Linked DNA regions of Neodiprion lecontei. The protein of the gene in region 1 interacts with the protein of each later gene in a biochemical or structural test. Links are inferred from orthologs where the notes say so. Each region holds a gene or a part of one and is shown in the gene's direction. Other genes may lie near its edges.

What was found.
Region 2: of the proteins of serine-protein kinase ATM (region 1) and ovarian-specific serine/threonine-protein kinase Lok, one has a biochemical effect on the other in vitro, tested with the Homo sapiens proteins (6 studies listed by BioGRID, with this or other methods). The link is inferred for Neodiprion lecontei from reciprocal best matches to the Homo sapiens genes ATM and CHEK2.
Region 3: the proteins of serine-protein kinase ATM (region 1) and structural maintenance of chromosomes protein 1A form a complex in vitro, tested with the Homo sapiens proteins (2 studies listed by BioGRID and IntAct, with this or other methods). The link is inferred for Neodiprion lecontei from reciprocal best matches to the Homo sapiens genes ATM and SMC1A.

The regions. Positions count from the first base shown.
Region 1 is NC_060262.1:22,819,326-22,825,557, forward strand, and holds the start of serine-protein kinase ATM, read left to right. Parts: upstream 1-2,068; 5' UTR 2,069-2,539; coding exon 2,540-2,611; intron 2,612-3,023; coding exon 3,024-3,161; intron 3,162-4,348; exon of another isoform or gene 4,349-4,353; intron 4,354-4,516; coding exon 4,517-4,967; exon of another isoform or gene 4,968-5,032; intron 5,033-5,862; coding exon 5,863-6,216; intron 6,217-6,232.
Region 2 is NC_060264.1:3,787,959-3,795,626, forward strand, and holds ovarian-specific serine/threonine-protein kinase Lok, read left to right. Parts: upstream 1-3,026; 5' UTR 3,027-3,209; intron 3,210-3,354; 5' UTR 3,355-3,474; coding exon 3,475-3,628; intron 3,629-3,806; coding exon 3,807-4,085; intron 4,086-4,154; coding exon 4,155-4,411; intron 4,412-4,490; coding exon 4,491-4,697; intron 4,698-4,791; coding exon 4,792-4,965; intron 4,966-5,199; coding exon 5,200-5,364; intron 5,365-5,443; coding exon 5,444-5,722; 3' UTR 5,723-6,750; downstream 6,751-7,668. Other genes in the region: trypsin-1, read left to right, coding at 183-294, 678-877, 1,650-1,797, 2,078-2,566; succinate dehydrogenase [ubiquinone] iron-sulfur subunit, mitochondrial-like, read right to left, coding at 6,782-6,925, 7,009-7,131, 7,203-7,503, 7,615-7,668. UniProt on the Homo sapiens protein: Serine/threonine-protein kinase which is required for checkpoint-mediated cell cycle arrest, activation of DNA repair and apoptosis in response to the presence of DNA double-strand breaks.
Region 3 is NC_060260.1:1,031,240-1,040,333, reverse strand, and holds structural maintenance of chromosomes protein 1A, read left to right. Parts: upstream 1-2,040; 5' UTR 2,041-2,252; intron 2,253-2,319; exon of another isoform or gene 2,320-2,396; 5' UTR 2,397-2,421; coding exon 2,422-2,533; intron 2,534-2,630; coding exon 2,631-2,751; intron 2,752-2,999; coding exon 3,000-3,099; intron 3,100-3,262; coding exon 3,263-3,441; intron 3,442-3,528; coding exon 3,529-3,667; intron 3,668-3,755; coding exon 3,756-4,220; intron 4,221-4,311; coding exon 4,312-4,740; intron 4,741-4,804; coding exon 4,805-5,016; intron 5,017-5,103; coding exon 5,104-5,272; intron 5,273-5,337; coding exon 5,338-5,460; intron 5,461-5,546; coding exon 5,547-5,678; intron 5,679-5,757; coding exon 5,758-5,823; intron 5,824-5,897; coding exon 5,898-6,055; intron 6,056-6,289; coding exon 6,290-6,387; intron 6,388-6,476; coding exon 6,477-6,781; intron 6,782-6,873; coding exon 6,874-7,146; intron 7,147-7,252; coding exon 7,253-7,432; intron 7,433-7,533; coding exon 7,534-7,712; and 6 more. Other genes in the region: caspase-1, read right to left, coding at 563-819, 892-1,197, 1,305-1,564, 1,668-1,744. UniProt on the Homo sapiens protein: Involved in chromosome cohesion during cell cycle and in DNA repair. Central component of cohesin complex. The cohesin complex is required for the cohesion of sister chromatids after DNA replication.

The DNA.
Region 1 (6,232 bases):
GTTACGAATTTTTGCCTGTTAGACAAGATTCCTTCTCTTGCAAAATAATAACCAGCTCCCTGCCCGCGCTGCCGTATACACTACTGGCCTTTTCATTCGTGGGGTATTAGGGTACCAACCCACTGAACTGTAACATGACTGGAACGCTGAATGCATTGGCTAGGGATAGGACTAACCCATGGGGCTGAGGGTGACTTCCCAGGTGCACACGGAACACGGATTACCGAAAGACGGAACGGTAAGCTTCCCTTGAGAACGGTCAATTCTCCGTGGCATCCGGACTGTTACTTTTGTCTTCTGCTTGTAAATTTCGTTCCGCAGCTCGTTTTGCTACCTGTTCCATGTAACTGAAATAACGGAATGGACCGTGCAAATGTACTTTTTTTATTTGCATCATATCTCAAGTACAAAGGCACGATTAATTGAAATAAATACAAATCAAACCAAAATCCATTTTAGAATTGTCGGAGAAAAGCAAATGGACATCGATTTCGCGTTGTTCTGTTCCATGAATATGCTACGTGGGACAGTTAAAAAAACCAGAATCGGAACGGAACGACAACACACCCCTGTCTTCTACGGCACAAGCTTATGTACCGAATACATAGGATACATAAATCAAAGAGGATTAGGGGATACATAACCTCTGTTGAAACGTACGTTAACTCATAGCTCTGGGTTATTTTTCCCAACAGTTTGTCGGGTCTGGCCGGGTTTGGGGGTATTAGCAGTTTCACTTATTATCAACCAAGCAACTGACACGTCGGCAAAAGAAGTTCTTGATAACCAACAACTATCGCGTACAAAACGTTGGTAATATACCCTTGTCATCGTGAAATTGAAAAGTTAAGAAAATCTCGCACAAGAAATATGTACACCGAAATTATACGACGGAAAAATAAATATTATTGAAATACATGAACGTGTATCGTTTATATTTACATGAATATATCAAACTTCTTACAAAGGATACTAGTCTAATATCTAAGATGCCCAATTTATTTTTTCAAAGTTTTTTTTGCAAAGACAACTTTAAGTTCCAAATTTTTTGAAAAAAATTTTACCCACTCCATTTTTAGTTCCAATCGTTTCAAAAATCTTTCAATGAAGAATTTTGTTTTGCTTTGTTTAGCACATTTAAAATTATGAGTTGAAAAATTCGATACCTCAAGTTTTGATAATATCCGAAGAATCCCGAAACACTTTTCTCTTTGTTAGAAGCACGTTGAAGATATGTAGAAGGTTGAATCTATTTGATGAGTTTTCCCTAAATTTGGAAGCGGTAAATGGGTTTTCATCAAGAGAAATTACGCAAGATTTTAAATAAATATAAAAATGAATCTATCGTGATGCTTGTTACAAATTAGCTGAAGAATAAAAAACTTGTGGATTTATTTAAAATTTTGATAAGCTGTTCAAATTGTCTTTCCGTATTACAACTTTTTGGAAATGTAACGAAAACGGCTAAAGAAAATCTCAGTTTGCCGCTAAAAACGCACTGGCTTTAAATAAGCCTCGAGAATTTAACCTTAAATTGAAGCATAAAAATAGTAGCCATATATCTTAGACTTATAAGTACATAAGTTACATATAAGTACAACTTTATAATTTCATCCCTTTATTATACTTCCTTCGGCTATTTTTCTATTGTTCATATCAAGAACTAGTTTCTAACAGTCAATCGTATGTGTGTATGTTGTGCACGTATTCTAACAACATTTTTTTTGTCAATGTGATTTATTGGAGATGCAATTAGATTAATTAACATTGCTGAAATCGGCTGAAATGAATTGCCTCAAATGGATTTGCAGTGTGGAGGGTATACGGCGTCTAACCATGGACCGAAACTAACTGGCAGTGCTAAAACTCTAAAACGGAGACAGAGCTACTCACGAACTTGGCAGCGCAAGAGAGATAAAAGATTGTTGACAGCACTGGGAGCTAATTTCGGAACGCACCCACAGAAGTTTACAATACGACGTCCTGCGACCCATCAGATGGCGCTCGCCTCGGTGAACATGTGCGAAAAATGGCGGAGAATATGAATTTTCTTTCTTGCAGGTCTACTCATTATATTTCAGTGACCTCCTGCAGCGTTAGATTCGTGCAAAGGTTCAGGGTAGGGAATGCATTACACCAAATAAGTAACGCCACTTAAGATAACAAAAGAACTGAGTTGATCATTTTCGTCTTGTTTCGATCTTTCTCTCACATGATTATAAACAAAAAGTTGCGTTTGTGCAACAGGTGCTCGAATCCGACTGATTGAATGCGCACGCGTTGTTCCCCTTCTTATATTAAAAATCAGTCGTTCGCGAATCGCGTTTCAAGAGTGAGGTAATTTTGGCGGGCGACGAGTTGTGCGAGCCAGTTAATTAATGTAAAGCTTGTGATATCTAGTGATACTTACGAGTGACGTTGAATAGAAATTTAAGATTATTGTTTTTCAAGTTTGTGTCTGAACGCACAAATCGGTAATCACAAATTTCAAAGTTTGAACTGTGGTAATGCGTCTAACCTTCATTGACAATTGTCAACGATGCCTAGATACGAGCAAGCATTTCACGACGTGTGTTCACTTGCGAGTTCCAGTCGAGTTTCAGATAGAAAGGTATGTTTCATACTTTTAAACAGGCGCTATTCACAATTCCAGCATATTATTTTCCTCCTGTCGTTCCATTAATTATGCGAACCATATATTAGATTGTGACGCTCAATAACAGCAGCTACAAGTTGTCTGTGGTCAGCAGCCGAGTATGTCAATTATGATTAAAGTCACGGGTGATGCTCAACAATAAAAATCTTGTGAACTATCACGAAAAACTTATGCAGGATATGAAATGTAAATTAGTGCTAAATTTTATCTAAAGTCTGCATAAATTTTACTTGTTGATACTAGATTTTATTAAAAATTTATTCCTTTATCCAACATTTCGTTTATTGAGAGATCATGTTGAAACTTTTATTTGTTCTGTCTCCTCACATGCTGGATTTTATAATCATTTTATGACTCTATCTTACAGAAATGCATTGTAAAATTAAAAGAGCTGTATGACAGTGCCGAAGCTATAGAGGAACTTGATACAAATTCAAAGACTCAGAATGGAACAGCAACTACTTGGACTGCAATTATGTACTCTGTACATAAAGTATTGTTACATGTAAGTGTTTTGAAAGTACTTTCTAGTCTCGATAAGTTTTTATTGTGAATTTATGTTCTGTTAAATTAAAGGAAGTATTTATATGCACTACAGAGTGAAACTTTACGGGATACTTTAGTTATTCTAATTTTTTCGGAAAAATTCGTGATTCGCAAAACTGGCATATTTAGGATGTATCCATTGTGCAAATAGACGTAGTGTTAATCACATGCTGAATTTTTATACTGTGTGTTTTGAAACCATAAAAGTGAAATTGTGGCATTCTACTGTGCCAATTCATTTTTACGTCCAAATTCCATATTAAATGGGTCAGTCAGTGTAGGATGGCAGAATTACCCCTGCATCCGCTTTACGATCGTTATCCTGCGGGGTGTCAACTGAATTTTTTTGGTTACATCATCAAAGCAGTCCTAATTGAATTACTAGGTTACTAGAAAAATCCTACTTTCAGGCTGGAATACCTGGAAAAGTCTGCGAACTTCGGATTCCAAAAAGCATACGAATCCTAACAGTTGCCGGCTGATTGGTCACAACGACACTCATCATCTTTGTCTATTGATACAAATCACACAGTATAGAACTTTTCCGATTCATCTCAATTCTGAATCAAACTTATTGCAGCCTCTCAACATAGCTCACGAGCTTTGAGGGGAATATATTTCTCAGAATCTCGGTTCCTCCTCTCTGACTACAAATGCTCATTCTCGAGAATTAGTTACTTTATGCAACTTTTGAATGATTTTATGATATTTACCAAGACCCTTCAACAGAAAAGCTCTACTACAGCTTCAAGTGGTGTCAAATGATTGCAATCCAATTGTGATATTGGGTTTATTAAACTAGTTTCCGGGGTGAACAATCCTTTGTTCACCATAATATTAAAGTACAAAATAGTAGCAGTCAATTTTTATGACTGTCGCATAATCGCATAAAGTACAGAACTTTTGTAGCATTTTTTAGTACATCAGTCTTTATATCGACGATAGCAAAAAAATTTATAATCAAAACTCGATTCAGAAGGGATGTTTCAAAGATAATTTGCAAAAGATCCGTTGTGCATGAGTTTCCATGGAGAATTTTTTTTCCTTTAATATCTGGTGTCATCATACATTATGAATCACTGAAATGGGCACTAGAGTTTTGCGACTTTTTATAACAAGACAGTCACAATGATTGCTTCCATTGTTATCATGTTATTGGTTATTATTAAAGATTTTTCGTCTTATTAAACTCTCCAATGAACGTTTGAAATTTAGTCAACACTATCTCAAATTGTTAATATATATATAAAATTTTATCAGTCAACGTATATTATCATCAGAATAACACTGTTGTGTTTCTGATTTTAAACATAGGAAGCAGAGAGATCAATGCGAGTGGACGATAAACCATCAGGTTCCACATCTAAACTATCACGAGCACAGGAAAACAAGGAGTCCGTTCAGCGAAGTAATTCGATTACTATATTGGACACAATCAAGAAAGCGAACAGCTCTGAAATATTTCTAAAATGTGACGACCTTGTGGGACTGATACTTCAAATTTTTTCTGATCACAAATACATGGATTATCAAAAAATATACCTCACTATTTTGGTGAACCATGTACTGCCGGTTAAACAATACCAAACTAATATGTCATCTGGTCATTGGAAGGAATTGTTGGATAGTTGTATTGGATTGTACAAAAACCCACATCCTAACATTGACAAGATTTTAATTTTGAGGGCAATTTGTGGCATAGTACAACATGGCTGCACACAATCACATCTTGCTCTAAGGTTGAAAGGGATTCTTCAATTTTTAGGTATTGAATTGCATCAAGTCCAAATTGTACATAAGGTTTCTCATTCTCCAAACCAAGTATTCAGGGTCAGTCTTAATTGCTCACAGTTTATGCAAGCAAGAGGGATTAGTCACTATGTAAACCTGATTTACACTGATTACAATTACAAAGGTTACAAGCTGATTTCCAAGATCACAAGCTGATTACCAAGATCATAGAGATTGCAAATATTACACAGATTATAAAATGATTAAGAAAATTACACAGATTTCCAAGACTAAGTGACTATACCAATTATAGTTACAAAAAATTACACAGATTATAAAGAGATTATACAGATTACGAAGATTAGAAGGAAAGACAAAGATTATAGAGGATACCAAAATATTGCAAAGATTACAAGTGGCCACAAAGATTACAAGAATTTCAAATTCGGCGAGGATTTCTAGATTTGAAAAATAACATGAAGAATACAAAGAAAATACAAAACACTACGAGGTATTATCAAGATCACAAGTATCCTAAGAATTACGATTCCCAGGATTACAAATATTAATAGTTATTACAAAGATTACATGCGGCAAAAGGACTACAAAATAGTCTGAAGATCACAAGAGATTTTTTAAATTACGAAGATACCATGAAGAATTTAATGAGATCATCAAAGATTACAATCGATTGTAGAAGATTGCAATGGTTAAAAAAAAATTACAAGGATTACGTGAGATTACAAGAGATAATCAAAATTAGATGAGATTGTACTTCAGATTATTACAGTGATTAACCCCTCCTGCAAGCATCAAACAGTTTCTGTTGGTCTTAATTGGACATAATGAACTCAAATGCCAGTTATGTACAAAAATAACCAAATGAAGCAATACCAAATTATACTTACAAGTAAAAATCACTTTTTTAGTCGAAGTCCTCAATGATGCAAAGTCTGACCCAAGGAATCTTTCCGATGACACATTCAAACTAGTAAATGCTGTATGTCAACAAGTTGGTCCAGAAAGTAGAATGGCTCTTTGTGAGTTTGGAGAAATTGTTATGCGTTCTGCAATCGATTTGAATGGTAGCTGTGCTAAATATGACTGGATGCTGCTAGTAGTTCGAGCTCACCACCCTGGAAGTGTAACGCAAAATCATAACGCAGCCTATGCTTGCAATTGGGATACATGGAATAATATATTGCGTGCAATTTATTGCATGGTTATAAACAATCTCGCATTAGAGTTTGTAACAGACAGCTTTATTCAACTCGCTTGTGAAGGTAAGATCGATTAATT
Region 2 (7,668 bases), on another chromosome or scaffold:
CTCCCGTGAATAAGTATACTTAGCTGAGAATTGGGAAACGGGCAACGCCCGCGCCGAGCGGCAACGAGATAGCCAAAACCGGTTGGTCTCCCCGCTGATCGCATATATGCCCGTCTTACTTTCGACCGTACGAACTTTTAGGGTTCCTGGAACGCTGTATACATTACAATGTCTGCCCGCAGGCTCCGTGGTAATAAAACCTCCGGGACACGGCTTGATGTCAACTTATATCTACAGGCACCAGGGTTAAGGGACCATCCTGCGGCAGGATGTACGGAGAACAAGGAATTCCAGGTCCTAAATATTGTCAGCAGTTTTCCATTTTATAAGTATGGATCACAGCAGCCTTAACACTTCTCTTATTCGTGCAATTAACAAAATATAGTTTTCGATGTTCAAATTCAAGTTTTTAAATCGAAAACGTTGAAAATTAGTTAATTGTGTCTATACAGCTTCTTGCAAACCGTATAGCTAAGATATTTGTACCTAGCGCGATACGCGTATAATCCGGCGATTTATCAAAGCGGGATTCTTCTCTGTTCGATCACATTAACGGTGTGATTAGTTAAACCCCCGCGATAAGATCGACAAATGATTTTTTTGGGGCATGCAACGATTAACAGTTCAGCCACTTTATCGTAATGGAGATTCGAGCTTGTACGTTCTTTGCTTTACAGCTGCTGACCGTCCTGCAGTTTGCGTCAACGGGTTTTGGAAGCAGTCGTATCGCTGCGGGCGAATCGACGACCCTCGGGGAATTCTCCTTCATTCTATCTCTGGGACTGACCTCCTGGGCAAACGTTTACCATTTGCACTACTGCGCCGGATTCGTTGTCACTGAAAACTGGGTTATCACTGCTGCCCATTGTGTCGAGGAGTGAGTATAACGCATATTTTAATGATATAAATCCGTATACTCTCCGAGTAAGTGCACCCGACTCAAAATCTAGACTCTACCGTAAGCCTGCAGGTACTCAGCAGAATCTCATTTGAGACTTTTCGGTCCTCACGCTCTATTCAGAACCTTGAGAGAGCTATATTTTTCATAGTTGGACCCCTGGTAGATCTTACACGTATTATTACCTATTCTGGTACTCTATGTGATACTCCTTTCATATGAGAGCCTGTTCAATGTCTTGAGGTCCTCAAACCTACTGCAGTAGTATCTAGATTGGTGATTATATTATTCCGCTTACTCTGAATAATTAGATGCGATACGGGACCAAGGTTACGAAAGTATAATAATTGATATTATGATTAACACTTGGTATCAGTAACCACATGTCGATCAATCTAAATATCGAAATCTAATTCAAGTACTGATCTTAATATTCAATGACTGAAATTGCACATTCTATGGTAAAGGACCTGTAGAGATCTTTAGGATATAGAGGATATAGAAGACCCGTAGAGGTCTGAAGCTACAGAAGACCTGTAGAGGTTTCAAAGATGTCCGACTTTGAACCTAAACGTGGGAGAAACGGAAATATCGGACAAGTTTAGGTCTAGAATACGTTCTCGTTTCAATATAAGGTTAGTCCTCCACAGGTCCTACTACGTTCTACCAAACGTATAACTTACAGGCGTATACGAGGGTCTAAATTTCGATTCCAGCAATCACGATAACTATCTGTATTTTCACAATTAAGCGCCGTTCAAGATGTGGGACGCTACTATTGGCTGGCTGGGACAAACAATTTGCGCCAAGGAGGCACCCAGTACTTCATCGGTCAGATCGTTATTCATCCCGATTACGCCCCGGATGATTCTCTGATACACGACGTCGCCTTGGTCAAGGTGAGATACAGCAGATACAGATACATTTACAACATTTACAACAGATACAGATACATTTAGATTTTGGCACAATTAGAGCCAATTCTTTGCTATTAAGGCCTGATTCCTCCAACGTTAATCTAAGTTTAATGTAAGTTCAGCCTATCTTCAAACTGTAAACAAAAAATTGAACGCCGTTTAAACCGTGTCGGAGGAAACGGGCATAAATGTTTAAAATGTAAACGAAATGCTCGAAAAATTAAGGTCGTATAACGTCTTGGTCATTATTTTATTTGTACAGGTGAGAAATCCGTTTGAATTTTCAAATACAATTCAGCCAATCGGGCTAGCGAGGTCAAGTGCTGAGTCTACATCAGGGACTCGCGGTGTTGTCGTCGGATGGGGTGAAGTTTCGCAGACGGTGATACAACCCGATGTTTTGCGAAGCGCCGAGGTTACGATCATCGACGGAGATCTCTGCCGCGAAATATACGCACCTTGGCACCTGACCATTCACGAGGAATATCAATTCTGCGCTTTATCTACCAACGACGAAGCGAAAACAGAGGCGAGGACCGATTCTCAAATGAAACTTGATCGTAGGGCATGTCGCGGAGACGAAGGAGGGCCCTTCTTTTATAGGGACCTTCAACCTTCGTTCGCCGTGGACACTGCCATGGGATTCGTGTCGTGGACCTATGGCTGCACGCCCTCAGGCTATCCGGCTGTATACGTAAAAATATCCCCCTACTTGGAATGGATACGTGAAATTACGGCCTCGTGGATATAATGTATAAGTTTTGTTATTTGTGTTGATATAATGTATAAGCATTGTTTATTTATGATGTTAAACCATGTGATTAAATTGTTTTTCATCACATTACGCGATCGATCCTTAGCGTTTGATGATTATCACACATCTAATTTTATACATTTTTTTGTAACTTTCTGGAACCACCCTGTAGTTACTGATATTTATTTTAAAAAACCTGAACGCATGCATGAGTTTACGCTCGTGTTTTCTTCATGCATGCAGGCAACGTTCGTGGCGCGCAATTCTACTATTTTGAAAATTGTACCCGCCCACAATTCCTTGCGCGTGATCCTATGAGCCAATAATTGCGTTCAACACATATACAACTCGAGAAACGAGCCAATCATATACAAGTAAAAGCTTTCAATTTTCCAATCCCATTCGCCTGGTCCGCATTCATCCATTTGTTGACAATGAAAGCTTTGATTGTGAGAGGGACACTGAAATGTAAGAAATATGTAAACTGAAACGGTGAGAAGAAAAAAGGAAGAGACCCTATAATTTCAAGCTTGTTATTTCGACGCCCAAGCGAAAACAGCGACAGGCGAATGTCCTCCAAATAATTTCATGTCAGAGAAGAATCGTCTGTACCACGTCGTAATTTATCTACACTTAAATGGTAAATATGCACACATATTTTTCACTCGAAATCGCTATTTGCCATTGTCTATTGTCGTATTGAAGCTTGCCGATAGTTTGGTATTCGAACTCGGCTTTGCCGAACTTCGATTTATATGTTTGAGATTTTGATTTTGGAATTGTAGCCACAAATATAACCTCTCGAGCCGGTCACGTGTCCGTAAGTTAAACGCTGTTGTTCTCGCTCACCTCCAACCTGTTGGTGCCTTTGACGGTCGGGCCAAACCAGCAGAAAGGCTATCGCAATGGCTACAGAGGATCAATTACCGCTTACCTTACCGGACACCCAAAATGCCGACATCTTGACCCCGCAGAGCCAGGAACAGGAACCACGGTCCCAAGGTTCCCAGAAGATATGGGGAATGCTTTACCCGAGCAGTGACAGGTTGCAGAGAGTCGGTGAGCAGTCAAATTTCGTATGGAAAAGGAGATTAAAGTCGCACATTGATCTTGCAGAGCTCGGCTATAATTTCTACCTCCAACTCAACTGGACAAGCACCAGTATCCAGAAATGTTTTTGTGTAATTGACGGAAGAGTTCAATACTCGTACAGTATTTTTAAAATTCTTTGTTTCAGAAATGACTATGAATGAGTACACATTGGGCCGTGCGGCACATTGCAACATATGCCTGACGGAACAACATCTTGACAGTAAAAAATGGTGGGGTGTTATTAGCAAGCTGCACTTTCGAATAACAAGGGTAATTGTTAGCCCTGGAACAAATGACATGGTGGTTTACCTGGAGGACACAAGCCACAACGGTACATTTGTTAATAAGCTCCTTGTGGGAAAAGGAAAACGAATTATTCTAGAACACGGTGACGTAATCGGGCTGGCTCAGGCTGAGAAAAAAGGTACAAGCTTATGAGTGAAATTATTTAAAGTCACAGAAGCAAATCCATTATTCCTCTTCTCACTTACAGTTTATACTTTTATGAGTATCAGCGGATCAGAAAATAGTATCCTGCCTCCAGAATTGAAATGCAAGTACGCTGTATCAAGAACGCTTGGTTCTGGTGTGTGCGGTGAGGTGAAAATGATCTATACTAAAGTCGGGTGCAAAAAGTTTGCGCTCAAGACTATCGCTAAGAATAACTTTCATGGCTGTGATGGAGGGAATCCGTTCAACGATCCAGGGAAGATCCTCAATGAGGTTCACATACTCAAGGCCTTGAGGCATGTGAGTAATTACATCTTTTTTGTAAGAATTATTTGCCTGTTATAATAAATTTCATCAACACTTCTTGGACACTTCGCAGCCCTGCATAATAAGGATGGAAGAAATCCTAGACACCCCGTCGTCGGTTTATATTGTCCTTGAGCTGATGGAGGGTGGTGAACTATTTGATAGGATTCGTAAGGAACGTTCTGGATTGAGCGAAAGAATTGCCAAAGTAATATTCTACCAGGTCGTTCTCGCCGTTCACTATCTACACCAACGCGGGATAACCCACAGAGACTTGAAGGTATTATAACACGCGAATCGGACTCCAGGCACTCAAATCTATTTCTTCTCATATATTTTATATCTACATAAATTTTGTTCTTTTTTTTTCACAGCCAGAAAATATACTGTTGGCTACTAACGCTGAAATAACACTGGTTAAAGTGACAGATTTCGGTCTGTCAAAGCTGGTGGACACTCAGACTATGATGCGCACTTTTTGTGGCACTCCACTATACGTGGCTCCTGAAGTATTATTGACGCACGGAAAAGGGTCGTACACAAACCAGGTGAGTAATTGCCAAGAATTTTATGTTCATTTGCTGAATAGTTACGTATTTAAATTTTTCATAAACATGTGTTAATTAAAAGAGAAATAACAAAATAACTCCTGAATCAAAATGTTTGAAGTAATTACATTCTTTACCGTAAAATTTTTAGATTTTTTAACCTCTCTCTGCTGTCTATCACACACAAGTTGCAAAGGGCGGAACAACTCTCTGACAATACTTTTTACATTTTAGGTAGACGTATGGAGTTTGGGCGTAATTCTGTACTGTTGTTTAAGTGGGCTGGTACCATTCATCAGTAATGCCAAAGATATATCATTGCAGCATCAAATTGTTCAAGGAATTTACTCATTTCCGAGAGAGCGGTTTAAGAAGGTTTCCTTGCGTGCCATCGACCTCGTATGTCAATACCTTCGAAAAAGCAATAAAAATCTCCTGGCCTTTAAAATTATTTCTCATTTCATAAAATCCATTTCAGATTCAGCGTATGCTGACTGTAGATCCGAGTAAACGGATCACCATTCAGGATGTCGTACGCCATCCATGGCTGCTGGACAGGGAAGTGAGAAGCATTGTTAGCGAACTAATGAACGAAAATGACGAATACAACGAAAATCTTGTACCGTTTTCTGTGCCATCAACTTCAGGAGTTGCATCAGCGGTTGTACACGCATCTAGGCTTAAGGCTACACCAGGTCTCAGACGACAAAGAATAGAACCACCGACTGCCGCGTTGAAGAGGGCGCGCGTAGAGTGACTGAGTACCTTGTTCAAAATACTTAGTAATTAAACTTACGTACCAGATCAACGTGTAACAGCCATGGTGGGTCGTTGCGCGGAATAATTATGATTTAGGAATTTATCGTTTCACTCAGTAAGTTTCCTCGTTTATGTAAAGTTGTGGACCGACCAATGATCAGGGTATCAAAAAGGTGTAGCTTTTTTCTCTACTTATGCAAAACTAATTTTACAAGTAAAATAGAATCAAAGACCGAACAAAACAAAAGTATTATCCTTAAGCTTAAATGCTGTGATCGAAGTCGTACCTAGTCAGACGTGTAAATAATATGAACAAACGGTGAAGACTTTCTATTTTTTTTTTTTTTTAACTTGATTTTTCGCGTGATCTCCAACTGTTGTGTTAAAAATTGTACTAGTTACACGGAAGACACATTGTTCCGAAAGGAATGAAAGTTCGAAAAGAAAACTTTGAGTGTTACAGTGTTAGAATGAAGGAGCTAGTCCCTAACATTTTTTGTTTGTAGTCCTCAAAATGTTTTGATGTGATGACGAATCATGGGGATAAGTAATAGACGTAGCCCCAATCAATGGCTAATACAGTACAAAGACAAGTTGACGTAGGTTTTTTTTCTTCACTTGTTATACTCGTGCTGACGCGAGTCTTTCTAAACTCTGTTAAAAATACCTGATAAATACAATATTACTTGAGTGTTAAGTTGTGCTTTCAGTGAAGCAATACATAGCTCTAAACGATAATTATCACTTTTTTTTAATTATATTATTTTCATATCTATAATTAAATAAACGATTATAAGACTATTTTTAGGTGAAAATAACGAAGCATTTCGTACGGTTATTCTCGTTGAAAATATTTCTCGTTAATCTTAAATGAAAAATTATCCTCGTAATTGTGAGAAAAATATGTAAAAGTAAACAACGTGTTAACGTAGAAAAGAATTTTGTATTCAAAATCACGTCCCACGGTGACAACAACGTTATGGTATGAGAGAAGTACAGGGTGAATAATTATTACCACATATAAATATGTTCGATTATATATTATACATACATCAATTCATTTTTCCGCATGGGGATTGGCGTTTGGGGGGGGTCCAGCGCACGGATCCGGCAGCGGCGTCTGCATGTCTGGTTTTTCTTTTTTCGTAAGACCGGCAAGTAGCCGTTTTATCTGGGCAATCGCTTTGCCGGGATTCAATCCCTGAGGAAATGAATAATTATCGTATAAGAAGAAATCCGTCATGCGTAAAAAATCAACCTGCACCTATACTTATACGCCCGTACCTTCGGACACGTTTTAGTGCAATTGAAAATAGTGTGGCAGCGAAAAACCGAATAAAAATCCCGAAGCTTCGCGAGCCGTTCCTCGTGCTCAAAGTCCCTTGAATCGATGATCCACCTGTATGCCTGTAAAATTTTCATCCGAATTAACTCGCGTTCTTCTCAGCCTCTTCCTTTCAATCGTGCGATTATCTGACCTGCATCAGGACCGCAGGTCCGAGATACTTGTCGCCGAGCCACCAATAAGGGGGACACGAGTAGGTGCAGCATCCGCACATCACGCACTCGTACAAACCGTCCAGTTTGTTTCTGTCACGCTGACTTTGCAGCGTCTGGCGATACCCGATGTACTGATCCTCGCCCCGCCGTTTCAGCCAAGGTTCTATCATTTTGTACTGTTTCAAAAAGTGCGAAAGATCCGGCACCAAGTCCCGAATTACGTACATGTGGGGCAGGGGATAGATAATCGCCGGTTTCGATGAATTGTCGTCGAGTTTCCTGTTACGGAAATATTATTCTTTGATCGATCAATTCGTTCTGCTACTACGTAAATTATGCTGATACGTCTTATCCCAATACCACCGGGCTGTCGTTACTGTTAAGATTTACGTTAGACAGGCCAGGGTGTTCACCCCGTTGATGTTCATCGAGCAGCTACCGCAT
Region 3 (9,094 bases), on another chromosome or scaffold:
TTGTGGCCATCAGCCAAAAACAAAAGGACAAGCTATATGATATAATACGTACACTGTTTGAGATCAAATGATTACATCTTGAAGAGTTTTGTGAGTATTAATTACAATTTAGCCATCAGTTGTCGCTTAAGTCTCCTCAAAGTAATAAGATCTAAGTAATGTTACAATGCTCTGTCCTGATCGCAACTTCACAAATACTTCCAGCAATGCAAATTCATTCAAGTTGTTCTAGTAAATAACATTCGATTTTGGTCCGTTGAATTGTTTCGTTTGTGTCATGTTATTTGTGGCTATTATAAGCATTTTTTGTTGTGTCAAATGGCATCGTCAAAATATGCTTTAAGTAACTGCTGTATATGTGAGCAAGTAACGGCAGATAGTTCATGACAAACAATGTGTGCAGTCACTGAAGTAACCTAATCTAATGGAATAAGATGTTACAGATTATTACCTGGGATGAAAAATTTCCGTCGAATAGAGCGAAGGATATTCATAGCTGATAAAAACTGTTCTCAGTCAAGAATTATGGCAAATTGAATTAAAACGATCTTGACCTCGTGCATCAATTAGCAGCAACTCCGTTCTTAGGCAATGTGAACTTCACTAGGCGTGTCAGCATTGAAGTGATACATGGAATTTGTTTCTGCTGATGCATAGTAATATTGTCAGGAGTATTAGATTCAAAATCAATTGCAACGCGCTGACAAACAAAAGTCAGGAGTGTTAGCAAATCCCATCGTGAGCCATTTTCGCAAAGCTCCAAGCACAAAGCTTGCATGAACCAGGATCCTCGGGTCGTGTTCCTCCAAGAATAGAAACCTAGAAGAGAAGAATGAAATAAATATTGCTAACAATGTACTTACAAAGCCTACAAATGACAATGGTAATTACCTGGTATGGTCGAGTAGGCTATTAAAAAATCTGCATGGCTTGGTATGCGAAAACTTTGGGAACCATGTCCGTCTGTTTCTGTGCGTTCTCTGAGGCTAACACCAGGATCTAATTTGTCTCCCTGGCATGCCTGGATAAAGAACATTTTAGGTTTACCAGAGAGTGTCGGACACTTGTCTGCGGTAAAGTATGACCAAATTGTGTCAGCTTTGTAAGGAGTGTCATGGGCGTATAATATACCCAGCTCTCCATGAGACAGTACAGCCACAACTAAACAATCATGATCTGAATGATCCATTTCTGAAACTGATTCATTTCTCATGTTAGTATGCCTCAAGGATAAGTGATGAAAATTCTTGTAGGATGAGTTGGCAATTTGTAAAACAGGATCAAGCATTTGATGACACACAAACCTTTTTCTAGTTTCTTCTGAATATCCTTGAATATTAGATTCTGAAAATCTTTGACCTCGAATCCAAGTTTGACTAGACAGTTCCTTAGCGTTTCACAGTCAACGTTAGTGCCAGATCTGGGCTTGAGGTGATTTATGGTGAAGGATTCGTGGTTAAAAATCAGAGCTATACCTCGCTTGGAATGATTCATGTTGTAGTGAGTCGCGTAGCGCATTGTCGGACTATTTTGTAATTGATTTCCATAAGACTGCGCGTTGCTCCTGAAGGAAATTAAAGGTAAACAATCTTACTTCAGTTCTATTTGAAGGTTATATTAGGTTAGGGTTACATTTGGTAGATTTGATAAAAATTTTTCCAACTTACCTTCCGTAACCAAAGGCATCTCCGTAGTCATCCCCTTCGACAGAACTGTCGACGCAACTCTGAATTGTCGCAGACATTATTTTTTTCTATCTTTAACACCTCCAACAAGTATCGATAGGTTTTATCAATATAAACAAACCGCTTTACATGCAGCTTTGTGGATACACTATCCACACGCGTAACACTGTGACGATATATGGACGATATTGCCTATGCGACCATAGGTATGAAAATGTCGGACGTAGCAAGCAATGACCCTGAATGACTCATCCGTCGGCTTCTTACCTCCTCATGTTCACAAATTATCCTCTCAGGCACAGAGAGCTAATTTCGGAACGCACTTGCAGAGGAGGATTCGTGGTGAGTATTCCAAAATGGTTCCAAAGTGGTTTCAACTCCCGCGCATAGTTCCCGCCACGGTTACCGCGGTGATATATGACAAAACATCAGACTGATCGGAACGTTGAACGGAGATTCTGGCGCTTGGACATTCGTTTCTGTATTCATTTTCTCAGCGTCGTAGCGTCAGCATTGTGGCGTCTCGCGCCTGCCACGAGCTACGGTTTCGATGATTTTTCGTTAGAGGTATATTTACGTTTGGCTGCGACATGTAAATAGTTTTCAGTGTCAACACTCATGTTTTGTTGGTTAGTATTTTAGTGGAGATTCGAGAGGCGTGGACACTAGTAAACAATAACCGCGGTGATCCGTACGGTTCGCATCTGACAGGTTATTGGATACAACCATAACCAGGATGCCAGCATTTCTGAGTTACATTGAAGTCGAAGACTTCAAATCCTACAAGGGAAAACTTAGAATTGGTCCACTTAAGCCCTTCACGGCAGTCGTAGGTCCAAATGGATCCGGTAAGACCTTCCTACCAAATTCTAAATTGTCATGATCTCAAGCTTGCAACGTCGTTACTGAACATATTTTCAGATCTTTGACTCTGTCAAATTACAGGCAAATCAAATTTCATGGATGCCATCAGTTTTGTCATGGGAGAAAAAACTAGCAGCCTTAGAGTAAAAAGATTCAGTGAGCTCATCCATGGTGCTTCAATTGGTCAGCCCGTTAAGCGAAGGTAAGTAAAGGCAAATAGTCATGACATTTTTTAGTAAAATAGGATGAATGAGTATGGGGGTAAGTCCAAAAGATAGCGTTCAAGGTATAAATACTCATCAGGATGGAATTGGACTTGAACAGTACATTAATTAACTTCATGATTTTATATTTGAAGAAAATGGTGCCTCTGCCATCAATGGCTTGACCTATCTCTCATTTAGCCTTTAGATTACCATATGTTTAATTGTTGATCGGTTTAACTTTCAGTGCTTCGGTTACAGCTGTATTTAAAATGGAAGATGGTACTGAGAAGAGTTTCATGCGGTCAGTGCAAGGCTCCGCTTCCGAGCATCGTATCGATAATATGGTGTGTTTATTACTCATAGTTATTAAATTCAAATACATCTTTGTCCCTTAATTCATCAAAGTAGATCATTAGGTTTCAAAGCTTGTGTGTGAATAATCAATGATAATTAAAATGTGCAATCTTCTCATTTTGTAATTTCTTAAACCAATCTTGCATCCTGTAGGTTGTAACTAGTCAAGTGTACCTTAACGAGTTGGAACATCTTGGGATAAATGTGAAGGCTAAGAATTTCCTCGTCTTTCAAGGGGCTGTGGAGTCGATAGCTATGAAAAATCCCAAAGAACGAACAGCTCTTTTCGAAGAGATCAGCAATTCGGGTGCACTGAAAACTGAATATGAAAGGTAAATCTGAAATTTCTTACTCACGAATTGTAGCTCAAAACGGTTTGATTACATTGTACTCAATGTCTATATTTCAAACCCACTCAGGCTCAGAAGTGAGATGTTCAGAGCGGAAGAAGAGACACAGTTCTCTTATCAAAAAAAGAAAGGTGTAGCTGCTGAGAGAAAGGAGGCAAAATTAGAAAAGGAAGAAGCCGAGAAATACCACCGTTTAAAAGAAGAATGTGTAAGTGGACTGAACAACTTGATTTTCCCCCAAATTTACCTCTTGGCTACACATATTTTGATTTCTTCATTCTGTTTATCAACATCAGGCAGAAAAGCAGGTGGAGTTACAGCTCTTCAGGTTGTTTCACAATGAAAAAGAGATTGAAAATTTAGAAAACACTCTTAAAAAGAAGCAGCATGAAGTGGATAAGATATTGAAGAAAAAGGAAAAAGTGGATGAGAAATTGCGAGAGCAGAAAAAAGAGGCTGGCAAACTAAACCGTGAATATCAAAAGATTGAACAGGATATTAGGGAAATGGAAGCAGAGATATCCAAAAAAAGGCCCACTTTCATCAAGGCAAAAGAGCGTGTCACTCACATGCAAAAAAAAGTCGAATCTGCTCGCAAATCTTTGGCAACTGCTCGTACTGCTGACGAAGCCCACAAGAAAGACATAAAGGAGCTTCACGACCAGTTGTCCCAAGTTGAGCAAGCTAAAAGTGCCTATGAGGCGAATGTCGCCGGACAATCACAGTCACAGGGGAGAGACGTACAGCTTGAGGATGAACAGGTATATTTTTAGAGTAAAATGTGCAATATAAATTTTTTAACATTAAACCAGAAAAATTGGTATGGTTAATATTATTTAAAAATGATTCAAGGTCCGAGAGTATAATAATCTGAAAGAAGCGGCGGGAAAACAATCAGCACGCTACTTGCAGATGCTCGATTCCATTAATCGTCAGCAAAAATCCGACCAAGACAGGCTTGATAATGAGGGTAGAAAAAAAACAGACGTTGAAAATAAGCACAAGCAGAAAGGTCACATGAGAGACGAGGCTCAAAAGCGTGTAGAAAAGCTTGAGGAGCACATTAGAACTTCAGAAGCTGCGTTGGAGGATCAGAAGAAGCTCAGAGCTGATCTACAATCAGATGTGGGAACATCCAAAGACAAGATACAACAGATACAGCGCGAGTTGGAAAACATATCTGAACAGCTTGGTGATGCCAAAGTTGACAAGCACGAGGTTTCAAGGAACAAAAAGAAGACAGAAATTGTTGAAAATTTCAAACGTCTTTATCCTGGTGTGGTGAGTAAAAAATGTCCATTGTTTTGGTGGTAAAACTGTATTCTATTTTATTTATTTGGTTTAGTACGACCGCATGATCAACATGTGCCAACCGATCCACAAAAGATTCAACGTAGCTATTACCAAGGTCTTGGGGAAGTACATGGAAGCTATTGTTGTAGATACTGAAAAGACAGCAAGACAGTGCATACAGTATCTTAAGGAACAATATTTAGAACCAGAAACGTTCTTACCACTTGATTATATTCAAGCAAAGCCATTGAAGGGCAGACTTAGGTATGTTAAACGCCGTTCGGATTTCTGGAATGTGAAAATTATCTTACTGCTTATCAATTCTACATGGTGCTAATAATTATTTTGCAGAAACATTCAAGAGCCCAAGAATGTCAAGCTTTTATACGACGTTCTCGCTTTTTCGCCAAAGGATATTGATAGAGCTGTTTTATTCGCCACTAATAATGCTTTGGTTTGTGAAACTCCCGAAGACGCCAATAAAGTTGCGTATGAGATGGACAAAAAAACTAGATACGATGTAAGTAAATGCATATGAAGAAAAAATCGCGAAATATAAATCTCACGTTTATTTACTCAATTTAGTGTGTCGCACTTGATGGAACTTATTACCAGAAAGCTGGAATCATTTCGGGTGGAAGTTTGGATTTGGCAAAAAAAGCAAAAAGATGGGACGAAAAACAGATGTCACAGTTAAAATCTCGGAAGGTAACACTACCAAAATTAAATGCTCACACATCTGATTGTTGACGACCATAAAATAACAACCTAGAGATGCGCTCGTTGATTTTCAGGAAAAACTCACAGAAGAACTAAGAGAGGCTCTTAAGAAATCTCGCAAAGAATCCGAACTTAATACAGTCGATTCTCAAATTAGGGGACTTGAGACCCGCCTGAAGTACAATAAAAATGATTTGGTAACAACGGTAAGTGGACAGTACGGCTATACAATTAGTTTTTAACCATTTTGGCAAATCACGTTCACTATTTTAATTTAATCCGTAGAAAAAGCAAATAGCGGATCTCGAAGTGGAGCTGCAGGCACTACAAAATGAGTTAAATCTCTTTGGTGTGAGTAATCGATGAGTATTGGGAGAAATATTCCCATGATAATCGATTAATTGTATTGATATACTTTTTTGTAGCCCACAATAAGCGATATTGAAAAAACAATGGCCACCAGAGATCAAGAGATCCAAGCTATCAAGGAAAAAATGAACAGTGTGGAGGACGATGTATTTGCCAACTTTTGCGAACAGATCGGTGTTGCCAATATTCGTCAGTACGAGGAAAGAGAATTGAGGTAGAGTCCAGGAACCTGTACCATCTTTTTTTTTTTTGCCCTCTTAATTTGAATAAAATCAATGCTATTCAGCAATTATCTCCCAAACGTCTGTCAATACCTGCAGATCCAGCATAATCCTTGATCCTTGGTCCTTCAATCGTTCCACAATTGCTGATATCATTAGGTATCAATTTATGAGTGAATCACAATGAAATTCATGTTCAATCTAAATACCAAACACTCGTGTCACAGATCACAGCAAGAGCGTGCCAAGAAACGAATGGAATTCGACAACCAAACAAATCGTATTTTGAACCAGTTAGATTTTGAAAAACAAAAAGATACCGAAAGTAAGAATATTTTTCATTTTCCAATTTTGAAATACCTAATGAATTAATATCTTGGGAATTAATTTTAATCTGATTCTACAAAACAACAGGCAATGTACTTCGCTGGGAAAGAATGGTTCAAGATGCTGAAGATAAACTAGATGCGGCTCGTCAAACCGAGTCTCATCAACTGACTGAGAAAGAAAATGACGAGGTACAAATGAAGAAATTAACATCGACTCGTATTAACAAAAAGCTAGAGATGGATCAGGAAGAGGAGGAAATTGGAAAGGCAAGACGTGAAGCTGGTGCTATTGCAAAAGAAGTTCAGGCTGCGCAAAAACAGCTAAATTCAATTGAATCAAAGATTGAACAAAGGAAAGCAGATCGACATGCTATTTTGATGCAATGCAAGGTGGGTAACTTAGATATCCACAAGGTATCTCAATTACTTTCTAATTAGTTACATCCTTGAAAATCACGATAAAATCATCATCCAATTTTCAGATGGAAGACATTGCAATACCCATGTTGCGTGGGAACATGGAGGATATCACACAAGAGAGTACTGTGGCTGGAAGCGAAACAGGCACAGACTCTACATTGAATACTCAACAGCAGTACGAACGGGAAAGTTTAATCACCATCGACTACGGTCTTCTCCCTGACAGTCTAAAGGACATAGACGATGACGATATTAAAAAGACGAATGACAAACTCAATAGAGTAATAAACGAGCTTCAGGGAACAATACAGAGAATACAAGCTCCAAATATGAAGGTTTGGATTTACATTTTTATTGTTGAGCTAAATTTAACTTGACTCAGGTCACTTCTAGGTCTGAAATGAATCTGATAATTTGGAATAAATATACTTCTCGATATAGGCGTTGCAAAAGTTATATGCGGCTAAGGAAAAATTGCAAGAAACGAATGAGGAGTTCGAACAATCCCGTAAAAAGGCTAAAAAAGCTAAAACTCAGTTCGAGAAGGTTAAGAAAGAGAGACACGATAGGTTCATGGCATGTTTTGAGCATGTCGCCAATGAAATCGACCCGATCTATAAGGTAAATACTGAATATATGTCTACATACTCTTACCGTGTACAGATTTAACATTCTTGCTTCACTTTTGATTTATATTTTGACTGTTTTTCGACCCTTATCAGTCTTTAGCAAAGAACCAGTCCGCCCAGGCATTCCTTGGACCAGAGAATCCTGAAGAGCCGTATCTGGATGGTATTAATTACAATTGCGTTGCTCCGGGTAAACGATTCCAGCCAATGTCCAACCTTTCTGGTGGTGAAAAAACGGTTGCGGCCTTGGCGTTGCTGTTTGCCGTTCATAGGTAATTGCTTTCAAAGTCAAATCGAGAAGTTGGTGAAGGTATAAAAACGGCCTAAACCCGTTGAAGTTTCGGTGTGGTTTCCTTTCGATCTAGGATCTCTATGCTTCGATGTCATAAATTCTTTTACTGTCGTAGCTTTCAGCCAGCACCCTTTTTCGTTCTGGACGAAATCGACGCAGCCCTGGACAATACGAACATTGGAAAAGTAGCGAGCTACATTCGTGACAAGACTAGCTCTCTACAGACGATTGTTATTTCGCTCAAGGAAGAATTTTACTCTCACGCAGATGCGCTCGTTGGCATCTGCCCTGACGTAAGTTGTTCCGCACACGATCCCGACTCTATCCGCGATCGTAGTGTCTCGCTTGCTTCTACATGAAATAAAAATGAGATTCATTTCGATCGTGTATAGCACTCTAAAGTGCAAAAATTGAGTTTTCGTGATTTATCTTCACATACGTCTATTTGGCGATGTTACTAACGGCCTGTTCTGTTTCACAGGTTGGTGAATGTCTAGAGAGCAAAGTCCTAACACTTGACTTGACAGAATATCCAACTAATTCACAGGCGGTCGAACGGGAACCCGCAGGAATTTTCCCCCCAGCACCTATTATGAATTTGTAAAATTATCTTCAACGTAAAAGTTGGGATTAGGGATTCGGGTTTCCTGGTAATAACATTTGGAGAACGTAACGAAATACTTAATGTCAATTTTTATTTTATTTCCTTATGTTTGTTCTGTATTTTTGCACGTATCATCTGTGTTATGATCTGTAGTCTAAGCAGAATATTATAAGGAGACACAGTCTATGGGTTATTATAAAAGTTTATAAAAATTCTTTAACCATTTCGTAGTATTTTCAATATTTAGATATACCTACAACCACAGATGCGTTGATATCCATGTTATAATCTTATCAAAAAATGAATAATTTATAAATGTTTAATTAGCCTTCTTAACTGTTTATTTTTTTTTTCTCGTGCATACTGCAACAATCATTTTATAGAATACCGAATATTCAGTTTCAAGTTTTTTGCCAACTGTTACTACTGTATACCAAATTCAAAGATTACTCACATCTATTTTATTGTTTCAAAGCGTTTTAAGCCCGCAAAATTGTACAAAATTTATCTAATTTTCTAAAGATTGCCAATCTATTCTACCGGTACGGATAGGAGCGCATTCCAGCAACGAGCATTTCTTCCTTGAATACATGCCCAGATATTGAAATGCGTCAGTCCATAATCCAGATGTATTTTCAGAATTTTTCGCAGCCGTTGGAATGCCGCGTTTCCGATCTGCTGATTCCATCAGCGAACATCTGAGACATTCATCTTACTTGTGCAACAGCCATTATTTATATCTCCGCGTGTGACTCATC